2 linked regions of the Rattus norvegicus genome follow. Each later gene encodes a partner of the first gene's protein in a complex. Links are inferred from orthologs where the notes say so. Each region holds a gene or a part of one and is shown on either strand. Other genes may lie near its edges. The genes, in order: Izumo1 and Izumo1r.

Region 1 (4,242 bases):
TGCTATAAGGGATCTGGGATCTGTGTTCTGGAGGTAACCAGGCCTCCAGAAAAGAAGGGTATACCCCTGGGCTCACAAAATCTTAAATCCGGCTTTGAGAAGGTCAAGGGTGAAGGATCAGAAGGTGTTCCAGAACTGTGAGCTCAGCCTAAGTCCCTATAAAACACGGGCTGGAAGCAAAGATGGGACATTTGGCTGACATCAGGTATACTTGATGCTTTTTCAAGAACGGAGAAAGTTTCCTCAGATAGCATTTAATCTAATTGTATTCCCTTCCAAGACCAACTTCTATTCTTCTCAGGGAGTTTCTGTGCCTTTCCCCCAACTTGGCCTGTACAAGCTAGAGAAGGGGGCTGTGAATTAAAGGGCCACATCGCCAATACATGTATCTGATGTTTTTTGGAGCTGACCGTGTAATGCATGTGTGAGTGTGCAACACAATAAAACTGTGTGTGTGTGTGAGTGTGTGTGTGTGTGTCTACCGGGGACATTCATGTTCATGACTCACGGATACAGTAGCTAGTCAGATCTGGTAACCCTTTCTGCAGGACTTGTGGTTCACTTTCCTTTCTCTGAAAACTTCGGTACTGGTCACCAGACCTGTCCTATGTTTTGTCTTATTTTGAGATGGTCTCTGTAGTCCATGCTGGCCTAGAACTCGCTCTGTAGACCAAGCTGGCCTGGAATTCGTGGCAGTCTTCCTGCTTCAGTCTTCCAAGTGCCAGGACTACATGTGTGGGTCACCATGCTTGGATCCAGGCCCCTCCTTATCTGGGCTTGAGGCAAGAAGGGAAGAATATCACTATCAACTATGGTTTCCATGCTTTGGGACAGATCATAAAGAGACGCTCCAGTGCCTTCTGGGAGTTGTAGTCCTAGTTTAGAAGACTCGTTTAGAGACTCCCGCATCTCTTTATCTGGACACCAAGGTTTCTAGTCAACCAGCGGGCACCTTGCGAGAAACCTGGGGTCTCTGAAGACACGAAAGGAGGCTAGAGCAGGTTACCGGCTTCCGTTCCGGTCCGTAGGTGCTGGGAAAGTTCTACGAAGGGACTGCCACCCTATGACGTCATGGTAGGATGGGCGGGGCCTGCTTTGTTGCAATCCAATCAAACTTAAGAGTTGGATTTCTAGCCGGAGGCCTGAGAATTACTTCTAAGGGAATTGGGGTCCCACATGTGGGATGTGGCCCGAGTGTTTTGTGAAGAGGGGACGACAAATGACTCTTGGAGTCAGTAGAAAAACACTAATTTCCTCTCCCAGTCTCCCAGGAACAACTCTTAGTCGTGAGAAAGTATTTTAAAAAGTCCTCAGAACCTGAGCTGGGCGAAGCAGCGCTTGAAGGCTCGGAGTTGGAGAACAGCTATTAAAGGGTGTTGTTTAAGGTACTGGGGGGGGGGCCTGAAAAGAGTCTGTCCTGAAAGCTAGGGGTCTCAACCTTGAGAATAAGTAAACAGGTGCCCCAGAGACTGGAGGATGGCTTTGGAGGCATGATGAAGCTTTTGTAGGTTCAAGTGTCAGCTTTAAGGATTTGGGGTTTAAAATTTTTTGTCCTGAATAGTTTATCCAAGTTGGTAATATCCACGTTGGTTACTTGTTAGATAAATTATTTAATTATATATTTAATTAATTAATTTGGAGACAGTCTCAAGTAGGCCACGGTGGTATTGACTTAGCCTCCCAAGTGCTGCTACCTGTTTTTTTTTTTTTTTTTTTTTTTTTGTTTCTCTGGTTTGACTATTGAATGTTTAGTTTGCGGTGTCACATGTTTTCCGGGCTTGAAAGTCTGAATGTTGATCTATTCTTGGGTTCAGAGTTATATAAGAGTTCGGGGTAGCTGGGGAGTGAGCCCCTGGATTGGAAGTCTGAATGGGGTGAGGATGGAGGTGGTCCTGAGTTTGGGATCTGGCTTAATAGTTTTCAGGGATGCAATGAGGATCCTAAAGTTTGAGGTCCAGGAGTCCGAGTTCACAACTTTGGGTCTTTGATTAACGATATCTCCTTTTACTTGGGAATATCTCAAAGATCCTCATATTGAGCTTTGGAATCCTCTAAGACTGATTTTGGCTTCTGTTTAGCACCCTCCTCCCTGCCCTTGGTTTGGGGTGAGAGAATCCTCCTCCGGCGGTGCTGGCAAGCTGTGCGTTCTGGCCTCCATGGGGCTACATTTTACACTCTTGCTGGCAGCTCTTGCCAACTGCCTGTGTCCAGCAAGGCTCTGCATCATATGTGACCCGTTTGTGGTGGCTGCAATAAAGACTTTGGAGCAGAATTACCTGCCTACCCACCTGGCGCCCGAGCATCACGAAGATGTAATGAAGAGGGTAGAGCAGGAAGTGAGGAACTTCGCTGATCTGCCCTTGAATCAGAATACCTTTCTGGGGGTTGTAGGTAAGGAGGGCAGGCCATGATGCAGACCTCGGCAGCCTGGGAGAAGGGCTGGGTCCAGAAGTCCTCCTCTACAGGTGACAGGGACTGTAGGTAGAATGAAAAAGTGGCTGGGTGTAGTGGTTCACGCCTTTATTCCCAGTACTTGGGAGGCAGAGGCAGGCAAATCTCTGAGTTCCAGGTCAGCCTGGTCTACAGAGTGAGTTCCAGGACAGGCAGAGATACATACTCTCTAAATCTCTATCTATCTATCTATCTATCTATCTATCTATCTATCTATCTATCTATCTATCATGTATCTATGTATCTATCTATGTATCTATGTATCTATGTATCTATCTATCTATCTATCTATCTATCTATCTATCTATCTAATAGATATTAGAAAAGTCTCCGGATATAGAATCATGAAGTCTTTCTCCATAGCTCACAAGTACAGGGTCTAGCAAGTTCGTATGACAAAACTACAACTCCCAGAAGGCAAATTGTTAGGCCTTTAACCAGGTCTCTCTTTGGCCGAGGGCTTCACGGGTATTGTACTTTCTGTGAGGTAGCAAGCCAATGAGCTAGAAAAGCTGGAGTCTGGGGTTCTATATCTGCCCTCCACACACAGATGAGGACACACTGGAACAAGCATCCTGGAGTTTTCTGAAGGATCTGAAACGTATCACGGACAGTGACGTAAAAGGTAAATGTACCCAAGGATATGGGCAGACCCTTAGAGAAATCATGGCTGGTGATAACTTAAAGCAGATGCGAAGATCCGTGTCTCTGCTTGAGAGCCACTCTGGCTCTGCAACTTCTTAGCCAGGTGACCTTGAGCCTGGGGTCTGGCAACTTCCTCAGCCTCAGCGTGGAGGTGAGCGTCTTCCTCTCTCACTGGCCGTGAGGATTGAGTGAAGTAACGCGTGTGCATTTCATAACCCAATGGCAAGCTCTGTGTTCAGTGCTTGGTCTTGTTGTTCTCCCCTGAAGGGCTAGACTATGAAATGCCAGCCCAGACAGGGGGGGCATGCGTGCGCTCCTAGCTACTCAGGAGGTTAAAGCAGGAGGGCTGATTAAGCCTAGAGCTCCAGAACAGCTAGGACAACAGAATGACATCCTTTCTGAGCAAATAAGAGAGTGGCGCTGGTTGTGGTGGGACACACCATTAATCCCAGCCCTGGGGAGGCAGAAGCTGTCAGATCTCTGAGTTTGAGGGCAGCCTGGTCTACACAGAAAGTTCTAGGCCAGCCAGGACTACATGGTAAGACCCCAGAAAAGAGAGAGAGAGAAAAAAAATGAGGGGTCGGGATGTTGGATGTGGTGGTGTACCCTTGAAGATGGAGGCAGAAGGATGAGGTGTTCAAGATAGCCCCCAGCTACACGGTGAGTCTGAGGTCACTTGTCGTGGTAGCCACAGTATAGGGGATGCTAAGCTGTACCTCATCCCTGAGTTTGGGGGGCTCTTCTCTGGCTCTGCTTTCTCCTAGGAGAGCTCTTTGTAAAGGAGCTATTTTGGATGCTTCGTTTGCAAAAGGACATCTTTGCCACCCTTGTTGCACGTTTCCAAAAGGAAGGTGAGGGAAGATGGAGGGCCAGGACACACACACACACACACACACACACACACACACATGCACACGCACACGCACACACACACACACACCACACACACCCTTGGGTTCCTTAACTCTGCCTCCACTCCCAAGAACACCTTGCCCAGGTCCTTCCCTACCTGCCCCACAGCTCCTAAATCTCAGACCTCTCTGTTCAGCATGCACTCCTCCCTTTGGGGCATGGTAGTAAAGCCTGTACTTCCAGGAGGATTGCAAGTTTGAGGCCACCTTGGGCTTAGTGCTGAGATGCTGAGAT
Region 2 (4,601 bases), on another chromosome or scaffold:
ACTCGGACACAATAGGGCAAAATGAGCTCTGCTCAAGGGCCTCAAACTGCTTCTCCAGGGACAGATGCCTGGCCTGGAGGCTCTCCGAAAGGCAGCCTCTGCGATCGCCCCTCCCCCAGTCCACCTGCGCCCATGCTGGCCGCGACTTTGACTCGTTTCCTACAATTCTGTCCTGGAGGTGGCTAACGCTGCCGTCCTCCTTGTCCCTCTCCCTCCTTGCGAAGGACGTTTTTCCATTCCAGTAATGAGTGTGACTCATTTCTGGATTCTTGCTCTTGCCACATCCACAGTCATTTTAAACTTAATGTTCAATTCCAAATCGCTTACTTGTCAAGACTCGTTGCTCCCTGGGTGTCTATTCAGAACAAGTGTGAGTCCCCGTCTCTGCTGTCCCTGTGGACGCCGATACAAGGAGACCCTTGAGGCAGAAATGCCTTCCCATTTGGCCTCTGATTTCCAGAAGGGAGTCTCAGCTCTGTGGGAGACAGCACATGGAAGTTGGGCTGATAAACATCACCGCTCTGTCTCCAACCCCTAAAGCCAGCACATGCCCCCCCCTAATCCCAGTCTGACTGTGATGTTTAACTTTTTAAAAAAGACCTGGACAGTTCCTACCCCTCGGTCCTGGAGGTGATCCCCTCCCTCACCTGGTCCATAAGCATTAAATATGGAGTCAATCAAGCCTCGTTCAGATTCCAGCTCTCTGGACCTCTATCTGAGCCTCGGTTTCCCCTACATCTGAAAGAGAGTGCTCATTTGGGGGAATTCTTGCAGGCAGTAAGCCAGACCGGGTACCAGTGCCATAGGCTCCAGTCCCATGACTAGTCCTTCTGGATGTTCAATACTTTGTACCCGCGTGTGGAAACTGCCATTTTCCCTGCACATAATTAATATGCTTTGTACACTGACTGGCAGCCGAACATCGTGTGCTGTATTTTGTCTTCCTCAGCGGAAAACGCGGGAGGGTTATTTATTTATTTATTTACTATGTTTCTGTATGAAATTTCAGTGATTTTTGGCTACTTCTCCTTTGGAGGCAGAACATAAAAGACAAGTAAAGTTACAGGCATCACCTCCTACAGAACCTTTGGAGCAGCGGTCAGACCACGCCCCGGGTACAAATGCAGACGGTCCCTGCCCGGGCTGAGGGGCGGCTTTTGTTTCAGGTTTGATTTTTGCTTAAATCCTTGGCGCTCCAGGCTGCCTGTCTGTGCACCTGTGCGCTGCTAAGCTAGCTCCGGATGCTGTGGGAGGATGCTGTTAGCCAGGGGCCCCAGGGAGCTGAGCAGAAGAAGGGCCCCGTGGAACACTGGAGAGGAAGAGCGCGCTTCCGAGAACAAAAGATGAAGGAACTGTTAAGACATCCTTGTGCCGTGACCTTTTCGTGATCTCTCTTTCCTGACAGTCCCTGCCAACAGCTCTCATTACAGAGCACTAGACTGATAGAATCTAAGCTATCCCCAAGTTCTCGCAGGTTAGCAGCAGCGCTGAGAGTTGAACTTGTCCACTGCATGGATCTCTGGTACCGAAACGTCTTGTTTTTCTATCTTGAAGGCATGGAGGATGCTTAGGTCTGGCTACTTGCTGCTCTCCGCACCTGTAGCTCATAGAAGCTGAAGGGCAATAAAAGGCCAGTGGGTGGAGTGCCCTGAGCCTGCTCACCTCTCTGGGCCCAGGAAGAGCAACCAGAGGGCCCTGCCTTGAGGGTAAGTCTGAAGACAACGCTGAGAGGACTGACATCTTTCCTCTCTTGTCTATCTTACCTTCCTGGTCTTTGAGAAGAGTTGTTCTTTGTGCAAACTTGGAGCTCTGTGGGAAAACAGCCGTAGGTTTCGAGGTCGGGGTGGGTTCTGCAGTAGAATCTGGGTCTCTCTCTAATCCACATCTCAGACGTCCTGAGGTAGACATAGGCTAAACTGCTATGTGTAGGGCATGCTCCCAGCAGGCCTAGGAGCCATAGGAGCCATGAAGACCTGGCAGTGAGGACTGACTGGAGCCCTCCTGGAGCAGGGTGCACCCTTGCTCTAGCCGGGGGTGGGAGGGTACATCTTTCTGTCCATCCTCTCCACCCCCACCCATTGCCAGTACAAGCCAGAAGAGAACTGGAAATGTATCCGCAAACACCAAGGTACAAGCCAGCCTCCATGTTCCCGTGCTAGGGTTAAAGATGGAAGGTTCCTCAGCTCCTCATGCCTGACTGTGCTCCCAGCCCTTAGAGGCCAGCAGGATTCTTAGCGTTGTCTATTATGGCCTGACACTTAGGGTGTCTCTGAGATAGACTGGGGTGGGTTGAAATGAGCTAAAGAGAGCTCAGCGGTTGCAGGGACAGAGTGGGGATGAGCTACTCCGAGAAGCTCCATAGCCTGGTGCGGACCCTTCCTAGGGACTAGAATTAGGGTTGGCACGTGACGGAGAAAGCTAAGGCCAGCCTCAACCACCCCATCCCACCATATCCTTTGGCCATAAGGAGAATCTGCTTACTGGGATTGGTCACTTGGCCAAGAAGCTGTCTGCGGGCTGGGCCCAAAGCTCTAAACTCCCAGTCCATATATTACTGAGCTAGCAAAACCGCATCTAAGTGAACACAGCTTGAAAACATTCCCCACCTGCCCTCCTCTTCAGAGCTGTCTGTCTGTTTTTCCTTTTTCTTTTTTCTCTCTTTCCTCTTATTGCTCAGTTTGGTGTCTACGTTTCTACCATGGTTTGTACTGGGGTGTCAGATCCAAGTCATACTCTACGTTCTGTGATGTTGCTCTACACAGAAGGTTCTAGGAGCAGCCAGAGTGTTTCAGGGTTCCTAAGGGAGCCCTGGAGCCCCTACTCCCTCTCCAATGCCTGAAGGTTGGCAGGAGCAGGGTGGGTCTTACCTTCTTGGTCTTTGAGAATAATGTCCTCTCTACCTTAGGCTCCCCTCTCAACAGGTCATGGCACAATGGTGGCTGATCCTCCTGGGCTTGTGGACAGTCCTGCCCAGCTTGGCCGGGGGCAAGCTGCTCAATGTCTGCATGAATTCCAAGCACCACAAGCAAGAGCCTGGCCCAGAAGACAAGCTCTACTTTGAGGTACAGAGGAGCTGGCCCAGGGGCTGAGGAGGCTTCTTAGAATTATTGGAGAAGGAATACAGGCAAGATGGTCTCTGCACCCCATCACCCCTGATCTCTCAGTTCCTTAGTTTGGGGTCCATCCAGGGCTTTGCTGCTGAGCTGCTCTGGCTGCTTGGGAAACAGGTCATGTGGTGATCCCGGAGGATATGTTAGCTAACCATGGATCAGATCAAGCCTTCCTGTCAACATGGCGAGTCATAGACCTTGATTTGTGTCCTTTCCAGTCTCCTAAATTCCAACTATAAGTCCCTCCCACCCATCATACTGACCCAGGTTCCTGAACCTATTTTCTTTCATGGATTTATTACCTCCCTGGAGCTGATAGCAGGAAGCTATATTTGTGGCAGGAAGATAGGGAGGAAGGAGGTCAGTGGTCAGGTGCACCTCATTCTTCAGATGCTAGAGTCCCTCCTCTACAGAGGTGCTCATACGTCCCCTCTCCTGATACCCTTCTGCCCAAGCCACCCAAGCCAGCCTCTTACCCACCGTCTGTTGCCTCTGCCCCCGCCTCAGTGCATGCCCTGGAAGGACAATGCCTGCTGCACACGCGACACAAGCTGGGAAGCCCACCTTGATGAGCCCTTGCTCTTTAACTTCAGCATGACGCACTGTGGACTGCTGACCCCGCTCTGCCATAAGCACTTCATCCAGGCCATCTGCTTCTATGAGTGTTCCCCCAACCTGGGGCCTTGGATCCAGCCGGTGAGGAGACAGGAGGCAGACCCATGCAACACCCTTCCATTAAGTCCTAGGCTGGCATCTACAGGAGGCAAGTAGGACCAGGAGATGCTGTCCCTCTAGGGATAGGAGCAGAGCCAGAGGCCTCTGCTGGAGAAAGGGATGAAGAGGAAGCTAGACTGCCTCTGTCTCTGGAGGATAGCATGGCAGACACTACTGAAGAGGGCAAGTAGGATAAGGCTGGGTGGATGAGATGAATCTAGCCATCTGTACTTACTGTGAGACCTGGGACTGATAGCCATTCTGCCTCACGGTTCTTTTATCTGATGATGATTGTGGTGGTGGTGGTGGTGGTGGTGGTGGTGGTGGTACCTAGGGCTGAGAGATGGCTCAGTCAGTAAAGTGCTCATCACACAAGTGTGAAGACCTGAGTTCAATCCTCAGAACCCACACAAAAGAGCCAGGGGTAGAGATATGCGGCTGTAATCCCAGCACTACAGAGGCAGAGAAAGGAGGGTCCCTGGAGCTTGCTAGCCGATGAGCCTAGCCTGCTTAGTCAACTCTAGGCCAATGAGAGAATCTAAACCAGTGTAGACGAGGCCTGAAGAACAATAGTTGTTCTCTGGGCACTGCAGACGCACGGGTGCGTGCGCTTGCTGGCGCGCATGCGTGCATATTCACCTGCATTTACAGAATATGAACACACGGACACATAGAAGAAATAATACAGACATTGTAAAGAGTTAAATTCTGCCCCTCTCTTCTGCACCTAGGTGGTGCCAAACAGGCAGGAAGAGCAGCGGCTTTGGGACGTGCCAC

The links.
Region 2: the proteins of Izumo1 (region 1) and Izumo1r are in contact, whole or in part, in a crystal structure (PDB 5JKC), measured with the Homo sapiens proteins. The link is inferred for Rattus norvegicus from reciprocal best matches to the Homo sapiens genes IZUMO1 and IZUMO1R. Residues at the interface, in NP_872381.2 of Homo sapiens: Met75, Val77, Tyr134, Val141, Leu146, Trp148, Lys150, Asn151, Lys153, Glu155, Val156, His157, Ala158, Arg160, Lys161, Ser162, Tyr163, Asn239, Ser240, Ser241, Pro242, Ile245; in NP_001186135.1 of Homo sapiens: Lys42, Tyr44, Glu45, Ile48, Leu58, Trp62, His65, Leu66, Asp67, Gly80, Leu81, Leu82, Met83, Pro84, Gly85, Arg87, Ile91, Met145, Ser146, Tyr147, Gln171.

What each region holds. Positions count from the first base shown.
Region 1 is NC_086019.1:105,226,440-105,230,681, forward strand, and holds the start of Izumo1 (izumo sperm-egg fusion protein 1 precursor), read left to right. Parts: upstream 1-1,163; 5' UTR 1,164-1,385; intron 1,386-2,078; 5' UTR 2,079-2,156; coding exon 2,157-2,391; intron 2,392-3,001; coding exon 3,002-3,076; intron 3,077-3,860; coding exon 3,861-3,947; intron 3,948-4,242. UniProt on the Homo sapiens protein: Essential sperm cell-surface protein required for fertilization by acting as a ligand for IZUMO1R/JUNO receptor on egg.
Region 2 is NC_086026.1:20,026,629-20,031,229, reverse strand, and holds the start of Izumo1r (sperm-egg fusion protein Juno precursor), read left to right. Parts: upstream 1-1,651; 5' UTR 1,652-1,706; intron 1,707-1,763; exon of another isoform or gene 1,764-2,134; intron 2,135-2,905; exon of another isoform or gene 2,906-2,921; 5' UTR 2,922-2,924; coding exon 2,925-3,062; intron 3,063-3,617; coding exon 3,618-3,806; intron 3,807-4,555; coding exon 4,556-4,601. UniProt on the Homo sapiens protein: Receptor for IZUMO1 present at the cell surface of oocytes (oolemma), which is essential for species-specific gamete recognition and fertilization.